Drosophila melanogaster: one gene and its partners. The protein of the gene in region 3 interacts with the protein of the main gene of each other region in a pairwise test. Each region holds a gene or a part of one and is shown on either strand. Other genes may lie near its edges.

The links.
Region 1: the proteins of CG11449 (region 3) and CG31365 interact in a two-hybrid assay, tested with the Drosophila melanogaster proteins (one large-scale study listed by BioGRID).
Region 2: the proteins of CG11449 (region 3) and prg interact in a two-hybrid assay, tested with the Drosophila melanogaster proteins (one large-scale study listed by BioGRID).
Region 4: the proteins of CG11449 (region 3) and Ndc1 interact in a two-hybrid assay, tested with the Drosophila melanogaster proteins (one large-scale study listed by BioGRID).

What each region holds. Positions count from the first base shown.
Region 1 is NT_033777.3:23,123,439-23,128,391, forward strand, and holds CG31365 (uncharacterized protein), read right to left. Parts: upstream 2,985-4,953; 5' UTR 2,905-2,984; coding exon 1,824-2,904; intron 1,758-1,823; coding exon 1,624-1,757; intron 1,564-1,623; coding exon 859-1,563; 3' UTR 524-858; downstream 1-523. Other genes in the region: CenB1A (centaurin beta 1A), read left to right, coding at 5-191; CG31457 (uncharacterized protein), read right to left, coding at 3,270-3,607, 3,667-4,342.
Region 2 is NT_033779.5:8,462,557-8,467,194, forward strand, and holds prg (piragua), read left to right. Parts: upstream 1-1,931; 5' UTR 1,932-2,053; coding exon 2,054-2,218; intron 2,219-2,276; coding exon 2,277-3,788; 3' UTR 3,789-4,138; downstream 4,139-4,638. UniProt on the Drosophila melanogaster protein: May be involved in transcriptional regulation. The function of this protein is unclear.
Region 3 is NT_037436.4:22,452,333-22,456,632, reverse strand, and holds CG11449 (uncharacterized protein), read right to left. Parts: upstream 2,261-4,300; coding exon 644-2,260; downstream 1-643.
Region 4 is NT_033777.3:23,922,804-23,927,046, forward strand, and holds Ndc1 (nuclear division cycle 1), read left to right. Parts: upstream 1-1,595; 5' UTR 1,596-1,740; coding exon 1,741-2,138; intron 2,139-2,198; coding exon 2,199-3,537; 3' UTR 3,538-3,633; downstream 3,634-4,243. Other genes in the region: CG31141 (uncharacterized protein), read left to right, coding at 575-790, 850-1,395; CG13601 (uncharacterized protein), read right to left, coding at 3,826-4,139, 4,199-4,243. UniProt on the Drosophila melanogaster protein: Component of the nuclear pore complex (NPC), which plays a key role in de novo assembly and insertion of NPC in the nuclear envelope.

The DNA of each region.
Region 1 (4,953 bases), on a different chromosome or scaffold from region 3:
TCAGACTCCGATTGACACAACTGAATGACGAGATTGGACCCAACGACGAGTACAATGGCGAAGATGAGACGTACAAGAACGTAATGAAGGACTTCTCCAAGTTACCAGCCAGCCAGACGCGAGTTCTGCGCCAGCGGCACGACTCAAATACACTCGAATCGCAGCGCAGCTCGCTTACAAACTCCGACTAGCAGTGGCAGAAGGGCCGCAAGAGTTAGGACCTTACTGGATATTATGGAATAATTTGTTCCAATTATTAGGATAGCGTGATATTGGATTGTTATTGGCTTTATAACGCATTAACCAGGAATGTTAAACGGTTTCGACCTCTAAGGATGTCGTTGCGGGCTTGTTTCCCTTGGTAATCTCATTTGAAAAGCGCTTCCGATTATACAAGAAAATATTATTCATTGCATTTGGCATTCGAATGGCAGGCACGATCGTTCGTTTTCTCTTAGGCGCATTTTGAATCCGTTTTTGGCGATTAGCTTAAGTTTAAAGTATTCGTAGAGCAGTTGAGTTTATTAAAAATACGTATATTTGCCTATAAAATTGTACATCGTCTTATGTGGTATTTATTAAACGATATTGTAAAATGTACGTCTAGCTATATGTATCTTGTTACAGAGCTGTTCCAAATGTTCCGATTTGTATTTGTTTGCTAAACTGTTTAATGCTGCATGTTTCTAAATGTTTTAACGCTATCATGTTGATGATTTTTGGTGCCAACTGTTGTGAGCACTCTAGGTTCGCGAATAAAGTTGTAAAATATTCAGATCAATCAAAGTTGGTCTCTTCAGGTGTAAAACATGGTGGTCCAATCTGCGGTGTATTGGTAAAACATGTCCAGGGACTATTCTAGGCCACAGCTTGAAACTCGTTCGTCTCGGATATGTAGTCTGTGAGCTTGTTCTTCACCTTGTGCATTGTGGTTACATGTCTCTGGACCGCACTGCGATCGTTAAACTGACGGCCGCACTGTTTGCAGGAGAACATGACGCCAGCGTGGGTGACCAGATGGCGACTGAGGCCCGAAACATGATTGAAGCTACGATGACACAGATGACACTTGTGCGTCCGAGAGTTGCCCATATGCACGCGGCCAATGTGCTGCTGCAGGTTGGACTTCTGGGCAAAGCAGCTCGAGCATTGGGGGCACTGATGGCGCTTTACTCCCGTATGGGTGTCCATGTGACGCTTGAGCACTTCGCGCTGGGAGAAGGACAGTTCGCACTCGCTGCACTTGAAGGGTTTCAGGCCCGTGTGGATAATCATGTGGCGTTTGAGCGAGCTGGCGCACGACAGTTGCAGTGCGCAGCTGGGACACTTGAGCGTGCCGCCCTTTCCACTTTTCAGTCCCTTAATGTGGGTGTTGTGGTGGCGCGTCAGAAGTTTCTGCGTAGGAAATGCCACCGGGCACAAATGGCACTGGAACGACTTCACCGTGTCCGTAATTCGACCGGTTTTTGGTTGAGGACAACTGGACTCCTGCTTGAACACCAACTCACTCGATCTCTTTCGTTTGAGGGGCGTCTGCTCATCTCTATCGTTCTGTTCTTTTTCCTACAGATAATAAGATCCAAGTTGAATTCGAGTTCAATTTAAAATCACACGGTTAGTTACCACTATAATGACATTTTCATGGAAGCTGAAGACCTGTTGCTCCTGAGATATCTCCTCGCCCAGATTAAACACGACCACGTCTTCGATTTCCTCTGGCTTTTCGCCACTGAACTGAATTTCGCCGTCTTCTTTGACTAAGCAAAGAATTTAATGAAATGAAAATTTTTTCACATTTTTTTTGCCAAATTATACCCACTTACTGTTATAGGAGGTGATTCCGTTGTCCTGGTCAAATTCGGGAGTGGAGTCCTGGTTTTGATCCTCTGAGCTGGCAGAGTTTATGATGTAAATCTCTCCATTGTCTGTGTGCACTACATCTGATCCAACCATGTTGATTTCCCTGAAGTCTTCACCGCTTTCCGCGGGCACTTCCTCGTCCAGTTCGAGGCCATCTATGTTTACATCGCTATTATTTGCGGGGTCGGTATTGCAGCCCAATATGAATTCCTCTTCTTTTGCATCCTTCCTGGCCTCTGTCGCCTTTAGATTGGCGTCGACCAAGCTGGGTCGTCGCTTTGGAAGAGCTTTAGTTTTTGACCTAGAAGGGGAGGCATCTTCCTTGACTTGCGGCTTGGTCTCTGGTTCGGACCCATCCAAAGACTCCCACCGACCGGCCTTTTTCTCGGTAAGATACACCTCCAATTCGCCCAACAGCATGGCCAGCTGCTCTTTTCTTATGTCCTCGCTCACCTCGTTTCGCAGGTCATCTCTAACCTGGCTGCGCACCTCCTCGGCCAGCTCCTTGCGAACCTCACTGCGCACCTCCTCCGCTAGTTCCTTGCGCAGTTCGGTGGTCAGTTTCGCTCGAAGTTCTAGACGAGATTTGACCAGCCGTTTGTGCATTTCCGCCGCCTGTTCTTCCTTAAAATCTTCTCGCCACTTTTCGTCCTCAAGCTTGCGCACTTTGTCCTGCACCTCGATGAAGGCAATAGAGTCCTCGAACTCCAGCTCGTCCTCGTCATAATCGTCCGGATCCTTGGAGAAGACGCGGCTTCGCTTCCCGAGACCCAGAAGTCGGATATGCTTGCGAAGCTTCTTCTCCGCCCATTGGCAGCGCTGCCGGAACAGGAATGACTTCTCCAGCTGATAGCGGCACTCCTGGCAGATCCTCTTCGGCAGAGTATCCGTCGCCTTGGCGTCCAGTGCGACGCAGGCCATCAGGCGCACGGGTATCGAGAGCTGGGTGTCGTCCTCGTCGAAGATCGCGTACGCATCCTGGTGCTCCTTGAGGCAAAGGCGGCACAGGGTCGCCAAATCGGGATACGACGGCTGTGCATCCATGAAGGCGTCTATTTTTGGTAAATCAACGTATTTACTCGGTGGCGTCTCTGCATCGCAAGCAATGTGACCGCAGACAGGTTCGCTAAAAATACCTCCTCTCGAAACGAAAGCAATACAGTCACACTGTTCGTAAATAAACAATTTGATATATACGGCCCATAAACGTATCATAACTTAATTTATTAATGTAAGGTTTAAAGGTATTGATTTTCATACAAATCCAATGCATACCGAATGTGCATATTTAAAGTTTAATAGAATACAATGACAATTAAAATAGGTGATGGCTTAGTCAAATATGCGTGCACAAAAAAAGGTACTATTCTTATAATATAGAGGATTAAACTAAATTCGTTGTTACGTGGCTACGTCACGGTGTTATTTAGCTTATCCGCTCCTCTTAGACGACAGCGCACACAACTTTTGAAATCGGCGTACGAACTGCTGCATTTTGTCTTGAAGGAACTGTGCTTTCGGCACAGGTTATCGGTCGTCTGCTTGGGGCTCATAAAGCGCACTTTCTTTCGACACGGCGATGGGGTTTTTACATCCTCTAAGGCAGTTGTGTTGGCACCCAGAAAGGTGTCCTTGCTATAGTCGTTGCGCAGATGACTCAGCTGCGGGTCGTTCATGTTGATCTCAACCATGGGCACAGCAACTAGTGGCGTTGCAGCTGGCTGTCTGCTGGCTTCTGGTTCATCGTCTATTACATTTGAGAAATATATAAGTCGTGCAATTGCAAAGTAAGTGGGCTGGTCTTACCCAGTAACTCCACCACGCTGTTATCGCTCTGCTCCCTTAGCTCCTGGCCCATGTCTGTTTCGTAGAAGCCAGCGGTCTGTTCGTCAGGCAGCGGACTGCTTAAGTTCATCTTCATCTCATAGGTCGCCTCATTGCGCTTGCGCACAAAGTACCGTTCCAGTTCGACAAACACGTCGTCCAGAACGCTCAGTCGCAACTGCTGCTTGGCTTCGGGTATGATGACCTCTTCGAGTTCCGCCCGCAGCTCCAGCTCGATTTCCGCCCGCACAGCTTGCTTGCAAGTGCTGAGCAGCTCCTTTTTATACGCGTCGATCTCGCTGCTAATGAGCTGGGCGGCCTGCTGGCGCCACTGGGCATTGTTCTCGGCGCAGCCAGTTTGCGTGCATCCTTCCCCGGAGCCCCGCTCCTCCTCCACTTCACTCAGCTGCGACTTGACACCCTGCCGCTGCAACGCCTTGTGGCGCCTCAATTTGCGATCGGCTGCGAGGCAGCGTCGTCGGAAGCAGTGCATCTCCTCCAGTTGCAGCCGACACATGGTGCATATGTGCTGTGGCAGACCGTCGCCGGGCTCGATCTCCAGCGATGTGCAGACCATTATCTGCAGAGCAGTCGATCCATTTGCACCGAAAACGGGGAAATTGGGTTCCTTCGACAAGCACAGGCGACAAACATTCATGTTGAATTTCAAGGCAATTCGGAGCGTGGCAGCCGGACACCTGATTAGGCACGATTCGGAATGATGGACAATCTAGCAATCTTTCCAAGCAACCAGTTTAGAATATGAAACAAAAAAACATTTGAAGACAAATAACTAAAATTGGAAGCGGAGGAATTTCCTACTAGGAAACATCAACAAGTCTAGCCGATTTGTTATCGATATTTTCAGTGTGGCCATGCGGTTGAGAGAATGCATTTTAGTATTTCAAGGCTGGCTGCTCTGCCATTGATGTGCCCGTATTTCAGCAAGGCGCTTGGCGGGAGAATTTCAAATAGTCAAAATTTTACAACGATACTATAGCGCTCATTTGAATAACCTGAAATGCAGCAATAACACACATTCATTTATCAAACAATTTCTTTATATTTCATTAAATATTAAGTATAAATACGCAGTTAACTATTAAGTATTATATACACAATTACAATAAGATATTCAGTCACTATAATGCTTCTTCTATATACAAAGTACGATATATATTATATCAAAGGGCTTGAACTCGCCGCCGCACCTCAATAAATTATGCAATTCAATTCCATGATAATATACAGTAACAGTCGTCTGTGTTC
Region 2 (4,638 bases), on a different chromosome or scaffold from region 3:
TTTCCTCATCGAATGATCATTGCCGAGCACTTAATTGCCGAGTGGAATGTTTAGGACAGCAATCTTCAGTTGTTTTTCATTGTACACAAAATTGGAAGTCACTCTCATGTGGCCGGCAAATGGCATGTTCCCTATGTTTAGGGGTAATTGTATGCAAGTGTAAATATTAAGTTAGCAGAAGTCTCGTAGGGTAAGGATATTTACTAATTCGGTGTGGTGATATCATATAGATTTGCTTCTAGGGACTTTAATCAGACCATTAAGCTCGAATGCAATCTTTGCGCTTATTTCACTTAAGCAATTATATTTTATCTTTATGTTCAAACTTTTTAGGGCAGATAGTGCATACGCTAGAGTGCTTTCGTTCTACTCACTACTAACTCACTACAAATCACTACCTAAATAGGCTAATAGACGCATTTTAAAGACCCCAATTTCGGTAAATTCATGAAATTATAAATTCTCTTTTTTATAGTCCTATTTATGAATTATAAATGCACAAATTCATTTTCATACGCGCAACGGCAACTGTGAAAAGTGAGGAATCCCAATAACCAAAAATTAACAGGGACTTGGTGGCAGAAAATTTAACACTCATGAGAACTACAGGGTGCGAGGGCAAAGCTTGGGTTAACAGGATGATAGGTACACAGAAAAAAAAAACTATTCCATTGAAATTTGCGATCATCATTCATACGGTGTTTATGTTTTTGGAGTAGTTGATTCAAAATTGTAAAAAAAAAACCCTGTGTTTCCTTTAGCAATGTGGTCCAATCAGTTCATCATTTTATGCATATAATCTAAATAATAAAATTGAACCTGATTACACATCAAAATCAAATTTCTCTCCGTGCATCGGGGGAGAGAACAATAAATGTACACGGGGTTGCTGTTGCTTTTATTCCTTAAGGACGGGAATAACACACTAACCGCATGGGAGAGAAAAGAAGTGGAAGAGGGGAGGTGGGTAGGGAAAAGGAGCGAAAGAAGGAGAAGCGGCAGGAGCATAATAAAGACAAAAAGTACGTGGGTGGAAAACAACAAATACAGCCCAAATTGTATAAACTCACGGAACAGTTATTTCCCTCTATGGGTGGAAAATTGTTGCTGCTAATTCCCTTGCTGCTGTTGTTGTTGTTGTTGTTGCCGCTGCTGCGTAGGCGTAACAGTTGTTTTGCCGATGTGTGTGTGTGTGTTCTAGTATAATTTGCAGCATCTGCAGTGCAATAAATTCCACTAAACGAACATTAGCCACTTTCAATAGAACCAAAAATCTCACTGCAATTAAGCAATAACCGCGCAAGCAATCAATCCCGATTAGTTAAAGGAATATACGCGCGTACGCACAGATTTTTAAACAATCATCCGCTTTCGCCGAAAGAGTGCCGGCACTCGAAAAATACCTCCGCTTTAATCAAGAGTCCGCGGGCAATTGAAAAAGCTCTCGCTTCGCGTGTTCACGGCGTGTACCTACATAGGTACGCATCAATTAGGTACCTGCCGCCCACTGCTTTAATCGTAAGTGCATTTCTGATTTAAAAGTGTGACACGAGCCTTATAAGTCTTATAATTTATATTTTATGCAAACAGCTTTACAAATTTTTAATGTGTAGAAAGAAACTGCGTTTTATTGAATTTGAGCATCATCAAACTTCAACCCCAAAGAATTACACATAAGTAGTTTCGTTTTTGCTACCAAAGATGCTGACGTTTATTTTGCGTATTAGATATGGCTTTGTTACAATTTTAGTAAAAGTATTTTAAAATGGAAAGGTACAAATCTGAACTTTAATAAAACACAAAATTGTTTAATTTAAAAACTTCAAATATTCAAAAATTCCTATAATTCAATTAAGTAACCCACTGTGCAGCGGCTTATCGATTTCCTCCGACAATCGATTGGACCATGTTGTTTAATTTCGCGACATATCGATACTATCGTGGTAGATTGGCCATTGACCAACGCGTTTTATTTGCTACCGGTGTGGCTTTTGTTTGCTTAAACAATTGGATAATTTATTGCAATCCCGGCTTAAATGCATATGATTGAAGAATGCATACATCGGATATCAGCATGACCCAGGATCAGGATGTGAGCACTTGTCGCCTGTGCCACCATAATACGGATCCCAACTCGCTAAACATTTTCGATGACACCGTGCAGTTTTGCAAGGATGTGTCCATTGCAGAGGTTTCCAAGAGTCTCTGGAGCGTTCAGGTGAGTGGGCCATTTATAATCCATGGAAAAAGTGCATGAATAACTTCTCCACCTACAGTACGATCGCAACGAATGTTTGTCGGAGCTCATTTGCTCAAGGTGTCTGGAGATCCTCGAAGAGGCATTCGAGCTGCGAAAAGGAATGCAGGAGCGGGAACAGTCCCTGCAGGAGCAGCTGAAGGAGATGATTAAAGATCATCCGAAGCACCGTCCAGGCCTGAATGGCAACCCCGGAGTATTCGTACCCGAGGAGGGCTGCATTATTGTGGAAGTTGATCCAGAGAATCTGGCAGAGAGCAGTGAAGAGGAATTCGCACTCGGCTCCGATGGGGAGTACGAAAACTATGACGACGATGATGAGGAGGAGGAGGAAGACTACGATGAGGAGGACGAGGAAGATGGCCAGAACGGCGAAGACGTCGACATGCCACTGGGCATGGATGCGGCCCAGATGGCGGCTCAACAGTCCGTTGCCAACAACGCCAACACCACGGAGGCACGGCCAAAACGAGCGTTCCTCTGTCAATACTGTGATCTTGGGTTCACTCTGCCCGCCGAGTGTCAAGAGCACGAGCTGGCTGCACACGATCCCAACGCACCGTACTGCTGCAACTTTTGCAACATCAAGCTGGTTACCCGGCCTGCTTTGATTTCGCACATAAAGACACTGCATGATCCGGACCGTCCGTATGTGTGTGCTCACTGTCGGAAGGGTTTTGTGCGCCGCTCCGATCTTAAAAAGCACACAATCGTGCACACTGGCGTGAGGCCCTTCACATGCAACGTTTGCTCCAAGAGTTTCTCGCGGAATACAAATCTGACCAAGCACATGCGCATTCATAGCGGTGTCAAGCCCTTTGTTTGCCAGCAGTGTCCGCGATCCTTCCAGACGGCTGTGGAAATGATGCGCCACACACGTTCGCACGGAGAGGTAAAGGCTTTCCAATGTGGACGCTGTCCCTACTCGTTTTCGCGCAGGGATAAGCTAATAGCCCACCAGCAAGTCCATACCAGGCGGGACATGGAGCAGCAGCAGCAAATGGGTCTAATTCCCCCGATGGAGGGTGATCTGCAGCAGCAGGCGTTGCAGGCTAAACAAAAGGCTGCCGCACAAACCAAAAACTCACGCTATTACCACTGTGATGTCTGCGATCGAACTTTCCAACGGGAGAGGGACCTGCAACGCCATCAAGCTCTTCACATGGACTCGCTGTTCGCCTGCAAGACATGTAATCAAGGTTTCAACCGACGCGAGCAACTGCAGCGCCATGAGCTAGAGGCTCATGGTCCCAGCTTTACGTGCGGAATCTGTTGCATTAGCTTCCTGCATCAAATTGAGCTGGAGAATCACCTCAAAGTCCATCAGTTGCAGCACAAGATGGCCCAGCGGGCTCAAGAGGCTGCTATTTTACCCCTAAAAATGGCCGAAAAGGCTCCAGTGGCTATGACGGCTCCGCTAGTTCAGGATCCCCAGCTAGTGCGTCCCTCGGCAGCGGAACTGTCGTTCTACAGCAACATGATTCCCACAATGAATCTGGGCTTCTACAGCGAGACTCGTCCCGAGGAATAGAACAACATATTTACATGTTTAATAAGCTTAGTTGATAGGTCGGAAAAGTTTTGTAGGTCAAGGCTGTTTTAGTCGTTCAGGTCAACATAGAATCCATTGGTGTTAATGAATCTGTATAGTTTAAGTCATCTGACTATTGTCTGCCAAAATGTAGCTTAGTGGTTTTTAATAAAAGGCCAAATCTGAAACGGTTTTCTTCGAGATCGTATGACTTTGTGAAGATATTATTTTTCATAAGATATTAAAGAAAGTTTTCTGCTCTATAAAAAACTTCTTAAAGTTAAGTTATGTTAAACCTATTTAAAGTAGGTTTACTTAATATATAAATAAAATATCAAGTAAGGTATTTGAACATTTTGTATTAGCAGTCGTCTCAGACCAACATGTTGCGTGCAACAAGTTGCACGTTGTCCGATACGAAGAAGGTCTTCTCCGAAATCTTCAGAGCAACTGCACCGCTGCAGATTCTTTCTTGAGTTCGCCCCGTACGGTAGTGCCTCTCGACCAGCGCTCTCGGATCTTGATCGCCTCGAAATCTCGTAATCGCCTCGAAGTGCGCGTAGTGAATTGTGCTGGTGCTGACAGTGTAACGTAACGTTTGATAGAATAATAAATAATAAGTATTGGAGTGGGAGATCCGCAAAGAAATGTGGCCAAGCTACCATAAATAAAGTGCGGATTTCAAACGAGACGATAAATCTATTCCCGAAACGGGCACGCAATCGAGGGAATACGAATCCACCTTACGGTTCGCTTGGTTTTGGTTAGGTTCAGGTTCCGCTGAGAGCGGTAAGTACGCAATTACCTTCGCCATTGCCAAGGGTCACTTCGCAGGCGATTTATGTGTATG
Region 3 (4,300 bases):
GCGGTGGCATCTCCACTCAAGCTGGAGCTCCAGCTCTATCTTCATCTTCGTCGTCGTCTTTCCATTGTTTGCTTGTGTACGCTCAGCGTATGTGTGTGGCATAATAAAATTTTATTGTAGCCAAAAGTTGGCTACCACTTTTTCCATGGCACCCGGGCAGTAGTTTTCCCCACCCCATTCCCGCTCACCCGTAATTGTGTGTACCCACCCGCGGAGAAAGTGGGTTCCTGTGGGGGGAGGTGGCCTAAACGCCCACATAGTTGGAAATTAGCGAGATGTGTGGGCGGACTCTTCTACCGCACGCGCAACAATGTCGCTTAGTCATCATGGCGGTTCTTTGATTTCGATTCGCCAGTTACTTTTGGCTGGCAATTTAATGGCATACTTTTGGGCAGGGAAATGGCATCGAAGTTCGAACTTCGAACTTCTTAGATCTGTATAGTAAATAAGCTACCTACATGCCCAGCCATGAAACGAGTTCCTCACTCACATATGACACCACGCTTTTACTTTCAAGTGCACTTTATTTTGAAGCCTTGCAGTACTAGAACTAATAGCCTACTCTAAGGCCCCACATGGACCCACCTAGCGGCATTCCAAGAGCGCCCGACACTAGGCAACGACCTGTGAGATTAGGCTATCCTCAGCGGATCCGGTTGCGGGAACTTTGGATGTTCTTCAGCTGCTTTTCCACTTCCCGCAAGTACTTCTCCGGTAGGCAATTGTCGCGCATAGCCGCGATCTTGGCGTTAATCACCTGCTGGATGTTAACGTCCCGCTGCTTCTCATGGTCGAGCCACTTCTGCACCCTTCCGGCTTCCAGCTCGGCCAGACGGCGACGCTCCGCCTGTTTGTCTGTCATCTGTTGGCGCAAGTCCTGGCGGTAAGCCTGCCGCTGAGCGTCCCGCTGACGATCCATGACCTTCTGCTTCTCCTCCTCCTCGCGCATGCGATCCATGACCTTGGCGAACTCCTCCCCGGCGTGGGCGATCTCCAGAGCAAGGCGCTGCTTCATCTCCTGGGCCTGCTGCGCCCGTGCCTCGAGCAGGTCCCGCTCTGCCTCCCGCCGCGCTATGGCTGCTTCCTTCTCCCGCTGGCGATACTCGCGCTCCACGCGGTCTCGCTCCTTTAGATACTTCAGCTCGTCGTTGGTCTGGCGCGTCTCCATGGCTTCGGCAGCTACCGTAAAGATGCGCTGCTGGCGGCGCTCGAACTCCTTTTTGGCCAGTCGTTTCATTTCCTTAAGCTGGCGCTCCTTCTCCTGCTTATCGCGCATGTAGGCGGTTACCCGCAGGTCAGCCAATCGCTCCTGTTCGCTGAACATCGTCTTGAAGACGTTGGACATGTCCCGGATGCGCTGGAGCTCCTCCCGGAGCCTTTGCTTGCGCAGTTGGGCAAAGGCCCGCTGCTGCTCCTCCTGGCTGCGCAGGAGCTCGGTGGCGCGACGAATATCCTTGGCCTCGTCGGCCACCCGCTTGGCTTCCAAGTAGCGCACGTTCTCGCGCTCTGAGAGCTGCTGCCGGATCTCCTGGGCATAGCGGTTCCGCTTCTCCACCTCCAGTCGCTCGCGCTCATCCTCTTCGGTCAGCGCTTTCTGGGCCCGTTCGTTGACCATACGTGCCAGTCGCTCATCGTCCTCGCGCAGCGCCTTGGATAAGAGGTGCTTCTCATGGATCTGCGCTTCCCGCACAGCTTTGCATTTTGCGTCGAGAATCATGCGGTTGATCTGCTTCACCTCCTGTTCCTGCTCTTGACGGGCAAGAAAGGCGCGACTTAACACGGACTCCTTTTCCTCGAGGATCTCGCTGAGCAGGGTGCTTCTGCTTTCGGAAGCGCCAACCCCCTTGGCTTCATCGATGGCCTTGAATCGTTGTCGCGTCTCCTCAACCATTTGCAGCTGCTTGCGGTGCTCCTCTTCGTGCTGCTCAATCCTCTGCAGCTTCTCGCTCACGGTTTCTAGTTTTCCCTGATCCTTGAGACGGCGAAGCTCCCCGGCTCGGAGCACCACTTGTTTTGTGCCCTGATTGCGTTTTCGATCGCGTTCATTGCGCTTTAGTTGCTTCTGGTCATAGGCCGCCGACTGGTCACAAAGTGGTCTCCTGAAGGACCCGAAAGATGTGGCGGTTGGGTGGAAGCCACAAGCAGGCGGGCGATAGGCTGCCGTTTGGGCTCGTGCCCTGGCTCTTAGCTCATTGCACTTTTTCTGCACCTGAGATTCTGCACTGACGAATCGCACATTGGAGGCGGAAAAGCAGGGCATCCTTTTTAAAGTAAGCTTGTTAATAAGGCCTAAAAAACCGGGACTGGGAAGTATATCCTGGAGCAGAATTTGAGCTTCATTGAGTGATACCAAGATTGGAAACTTTATTCGATTCGCGTTGCTGGGACAATTTGTTTGGGTAGCAAGCGGTGGTAACCTTGGAGGCCACCAAGTAACCATGCAACAACCTATAACGTGCGAAACTATCCAAAAAACACATTGTTGGCTCTGTAGGTAGAGTTCAGTGCCAAAATACAGATAGCTGTGTGTAGGCATCCGTCTGCTCAGAATTGAAATACGCTTTTGCCGGAAGCTTTTCTCTTGATTTGTTCTGACGGTTACAGCGCACCCAACCACTCTTATCTTCCCTGCCCACTGGGCGAGCATTTAAACAGTCCCCATCCTCGTCCTCGTGCTAGGACCCGGACATCAAAAATGCAACCAAGCATAAATTTCGGGGCTCTGCGGCGGCCCCCATTGATTTATGCGCCTTGTCCAAGGACAAACATGCTTAGTCCCACCCAAATCGGTCCCTTCCTGACCAGTCCGGTACAACCCAGTCCATCCCGCTTCAATGATGTGTGCGAATGTGTGAAAGAAGTCAGCAATTATGCGACATAGAAAAGCAATAAGCCAACAAAATTCACACATTTTGGTCGGAACCCAGAACTGGACATTTGAGATACTGGGGGAACTCTCCGGCCCGCACCCAACTGTCCAAATCTCCGTGGCGGCAGCATCCATCCATTCATCCATCTATCCTCACCGCCCACTGGCCAGTGCGTTGGAAAGTCTAAGCTGGCAAAACTTTACGGCCACACATACAAATTAACTTGACCAAAGCAACAGACAGAGCCGAGAACCACGCCCACATTGTCAAACACACACACCCGGACATTAGGAGTAGGGGACGTGGAAAGAGGATGGCTGAGGGAACGTGGAGGACTAGGGCTAGTTTCTGGGAGCATTGAAATTCGAAACCGAAACGAGTTCCACCCATTTCAGCTGACTTTAATAAAAAGTTTTCTTTTTCCCCGTTGCACACACAAAAACTTTCTCCTATATGGAATGCCTTCGCATTTCCCTTGGCCACCGCCTCCATCTGGGCCTTCTAGTTGGATGCATTGAGGCGTTAAAGTCAACTTAAGCTGGCTGGGGCCGTATTGCCTCTCTGGGGAAAATGCGTTACCAACCAGTCCGCAAATGTAAATTGACATTTTCGAGTGCACGATTGAGCAAATGAACGTTTTTTTCCCCCACCCCGACTCCAGTGTCCTGGGTAATGGCAGTCAAGTCGTTGGATTAGCACCGTGAGTCTCCCAAGGAGACGGATCGGGGAGCCCGAGATGTGGCCATGGAGAGGTCATGCATGGGCTGCTTGATTATATGCAAAAGCATTATTAGCCGGGCCACGAAGCGAGTGGAGAAAGGACAGCTGGAGGACATCATTAGCATTCCTAAGTCCGAGCTCAGGCTATAATTTATGCGCTTAAGTTGTGTTCCGGTTAAGTTTAGTCCGCCCTTCCAGCACGCCTCCTTCGTTAATTAAACCTGATGTAAGTCGGGATGTGGCCAGGGATTAGGTATTAGATTATGTATTAGAGAGCTGTAGCCTCTCTTTTTCTCTCCTATTCTCTATTTCTCTCTCCAATATTCTTTTATCTCTGTCCTTGCAGGTGAGTCTCGGCATGCGGTCCCAGAATGTAACTTATAAGTATTATGAAGGGTAAGCAGGCCTCGGTTCTTTGATGCCACCCAAAATGCAGGAAAGACAAATGTTGCTTCTTGGGAAAATCTGGCAAAATCGTCTCGCATCCGGACGGAGACGGAAACTGAAATTGACAGCGCTCAGACTTGAGCACAAAACTTTCCCTGCTCCAACATGCACTTTCCAGCGTCATGTTGGCGCAGACATGTCGAGGAGGATGGAGGTGGGCTGGAGAAGAACCCAAAGGCCCCATTACAAAGGCTTGAGGCCTTCAAATGCCTTTTGGCATATGATTCATTTGTGGTCCGTCGGGGAAACTTTTCCAGCAGACG
Region 4 (4,243 bases), on a different chromosome or scaffold from region 3:
CACAAAATTTATATTTTTTTTTTTATTTCAACTTCACGAATTTTATGACTTTTATTCACTTTCATTTGCGGCCAATTGGACACATTACACACCTTATTGCGCTGCGTTTGCGGCGGCGGCGAGTGCGCACATTTGTTTTGGAATTTGTATGCTGTATTTAACGGAAAATCGACGAATCGACGACCGTAACTCCGTGCACTTTTCCGACCGCGACAACAACAAAATGTGATGTGACCGAAGGCGGACGTCTGTAAAATGCCAAAGCTACGACCTGAGCAATCGATAGTTCGGTGATGCCAGATTATATCATCGATTCTAGAATCGATATCGGACTTATCGATCAGCCAACGGTATGGCAAGGCTGTTTCCAAATAACAGTGGCAATTAAATTTATTTAAGTTTATTTAATTTGGTATTGCACACAAATCAATCTAACTTGCCTAGGGAAATTACTCAATTAAGAAGTAAGCATACAATATTTTTAGGCTTTCATTAGAAAACACGTGACAGCAAGGCGGTTCATCAGTTGTTTTATTTGTCAAATTGAAAAGTACACAATAATTAGGTAACAGAAATGTTGGAAATATTTAGGACGCCCTATGCGGACTCCAAACAGCTGCCGTTGGCAACTGGACCCGGTCCCATCATAATTATCCTCATTGGATACCTTCTGGTAGTTTTTAAGGCCGGCAGGAAGTTCATGGAGCATCGAGAACCTTATAATCTGCGAAAAGTGCTTAAGTACTATAACATGTTCCAGATATTCTACAATATAATGATGCTCCTGCCCGTGAGTTGAAATTTTGAGCCTACATTCTTTTCTTCAATTGATAAAAGCTTCTTCCGTAGGGATACTACTTCATGTTGGTATTCCAACCGTACAACTTTCGCTGCATGACTGTCCTGCAGCAGGATCATCCGCTGAAGAACTGGGAGCGCTGCATCAGCTATGCTTACTACATAAACAAGATCGTTGACCTGCTTGACACCGTGTTCTGCGTGCTGCGCAAGAAGTACTCGCAAATAACGTTTTTGCACGTTTTCCACCACGTCCTGATGCCATCCGCCGGATACTTGATAATACGATTCTATGGCTACGGAGGTCAACTCTTCTTCCTGTGCTCCTTCAATGTATTCGTTCATATCTTCATGTATGCCTATTACTATTCGGCCATCAAGGGCAATACGGTGCGTTGGAAGCGGTACTTGACCCTCATGCAAATGCTGCAGTTCCTCCTCATGTTTGGCCATTGCGCCTTAACCGCCATGCAGCGGCAGTGCACTGCATCGCAGGGAACCCTCTTTCTGGTCAGCTGCTCCGCGACCATCATGTTTATCATGTTCGCCAACTTTTATTTCCAGTGCTACCTGAGACCGAAGCATAAGGAGAACTAAAACTTAAATTAGGTCGAAAATTGAAGATATACTAATTTAGTCATACGTTTTTATGAGCCATTTTAATGGTGAACTTTCTAGATTTACAAAATTGTGCTTTGTAATTAAAAAGATAAATTTCAAAAAACCGTTTTCCATTAGGGTTTCTCACTACGAACATCAAATGAGTTATCGATTACGGGCAGCTCCACTTTCCGCATGCGGTCACACTTAAAAGTGCAACAACGCGCGCGTTGTCGGCAACCGTCGAATATTTGCAATTAGTCGCGAAATCAATTAGAAAACTATAGAATTAAATCAAATTATTGGTGATACCTCGATGGTCTAGCAGTTCGGAGCGCAAACATGTCTGCTAGCTCCTCCAGCAACGCTTGCAAGCTCTTGCTGCTCGGCCGCTGCCTGCGCGCCGTGCTCCTCAGCGTGGCCATCCAATTCCTGCTGCTCACAGTGTTCCTGCTGTTTGTGAACTTCCAACTGTTGCATCCGCTCGCCTGGGTGACGGGAACACTGCGTCTGGTAGCCAGTTGGTACACCTGGTTTGCCAGCATCCCTCTGGTGGCCTCCGTCGTGCTCTACGGTGTGATTCTTTGCCAGCAGCACTTGTCGGAGCGACGCTACTGCCCAACCCGCTACCGGTGGCTCCTGCACTACGGTCCACGCAAGGTGCTCTTTCTGTTCGCCCACCTTCTGGTCGGTCTGCTGACCGCCTGGCTCTACACGGGCTATCTGCACACAGACTATCAGTAAGTATACCTACAGTTGGTTTGAATTCGGTCAATACCTATGATTCCTTTTATTTCCAGACACCTGAAATATAAGTGCTATGGCCAGGATTGCATTAGTGCTTACAATGTCTATCTATTAGGCATCGGTATGACCGCCGGCTGCTACTACTTTGTCTCCGTTCACATGCGCAAGGAGATCTCCATTGAATTTCCCATTGTGGAGCAATCGCGGGCGGAGAAGATGCGAGAGCTGCTCTACGCCAGTTTGGCCAAATCTCTATTAAGTTCGCTGCTGCCTACGATCAGTTACACCGCCGTATTTTGTCTTTTCGGACCCATGGTATGCCACAGACTTAGTCACATTCTCTCTGTGGACATGGACGAGCGACTGGATGGATTCTTCGGAGTTGTTACCAATGTGCGCCTGCTTTTTTACGGCTATTTGCTGACCGCACAGATTTTGAGCAACATGCACCTAATGCGTTGCTTTTACGGCATTCTGCTCTCGGAGGATTTGCCACTGGTGGTGACTAAACCGCGAGCTGCTTTTGCCCATGAACAGGATATAACCTTGGTAGCGGGTCTCGGAGTTTTCAATGTGTATGTAGTGCAGTGCCTTGCTGCTCATCATTTCTACAAGCTGGCGTTGCGAAAGAACTCGCCACAACGGGCAGAGATATTCCAGCTGACTGAGCCGGGTAACCGGCCAGCAAGTTGGCGCTCCCTCTGCGACCAATGCTTGAGCATTCTCGGCAGCTTTACCGAAGAACTAACCGAGTCGATGCAGAAGATAAGTATACTCAAGTGCGCCCAGAGTCTGCCGATGCCGAAGATAACCGAATCGCTTACAACTAGCTTGATGGCCGAGAAGGTGTTGCTGCGGCAATACAACCAGAAACACGGCATTCGACCCATTGTATCGCCCAGTCGCGAGGTTGCTGTTGAAAGTCCAGCGGATGGCATCCGTCATTTTCCCAACTGGTGTGAGCGTGTATCCACGCAGTTGGAGCAGTCCCTACAACGGTTGCTACAGCGCGTTCCCGGCATTGTGTACTTATTCAACGAACCCGAAGGTGCCAAGACGACGTTTCTGCTGGCCAACTCCCTGCCCGTAGTGTATATGACTCAGGCTCTGGCTCAGGTGTGCGCAGCCTCGCTCAAAGAGGATCCATATGGAGTAGTGCAGAACGATTTGCCTGCTATCATCAAGGCGATCAACAAGCTGCGAAATGAGCTAGATAAGCTAAGTAGCGTGATAGGCAACATAAGGATATCCAGCTCTAGCTTTAACGTGCTTCGATGCGCAGTGCGACGCAGTCTGTACGCCATCTGTTTGTCGTTTTGCGACTATCTGGACGATCTGCTACCCCCTGGAGAGGAACTGCGCCAGCTGCAGGACCTCGTCTGCCAGGAGTAAACCCATCCATCACTTTATACACTCATCTTGTACACTGTTTTGCATCTCTTTAGTTGTTTGTCTGCGGTAACAATAAAAATTAATAAATATAACTACAAACGTCCAATAGTTATAGAATACTATTGACTTTTATACTTAAAGTACGAAATGGTAACACGCGATTTGATCATAACTAGCACTGATGAAATGGTCTGCAGGTTGAATGTGTACAAGCGGGCGGCCTTACTGTTCCTCCATCGCCACTGCCATCATGAGCAGGGCCAGATCCTGCTCTAGCTGCCGCTTTGGTCAAAGGTCGGCTGCTTTTGTAGGCAGTGAGCTGGCAACGGCAACGGTGGCTGCCTCTCCCAGAGACTGCTCCAGCTGCACGGCCACCTCATCCAGGTGCTGGAGAGCCTCCTTGGCCTTGCGGTTGCGTCCGTCCACGAAGATCTGCGTGTCCAGGAAGTGCAGGGCGCGGAAGGCCATACCGCCTTGCGGGTCATATAAGCTGTCGAACTTTTTCGGATTCCTGGCGCTGGCACTCTGGTCCGGCGTGTCGGGATCGAAGGGCACGTATTCCTGAATCGGCTCCTTGTGCCACCGGAAAATGTTTCGCGAATCTGTAAGGAGTTGGTATATGATTACGTGATACTTGATTTCGGTTGAAAGGAAATGGAACCTAGATCAGCCAGCACTCGCGTCATTTCTCGTATCTGGGCATCCT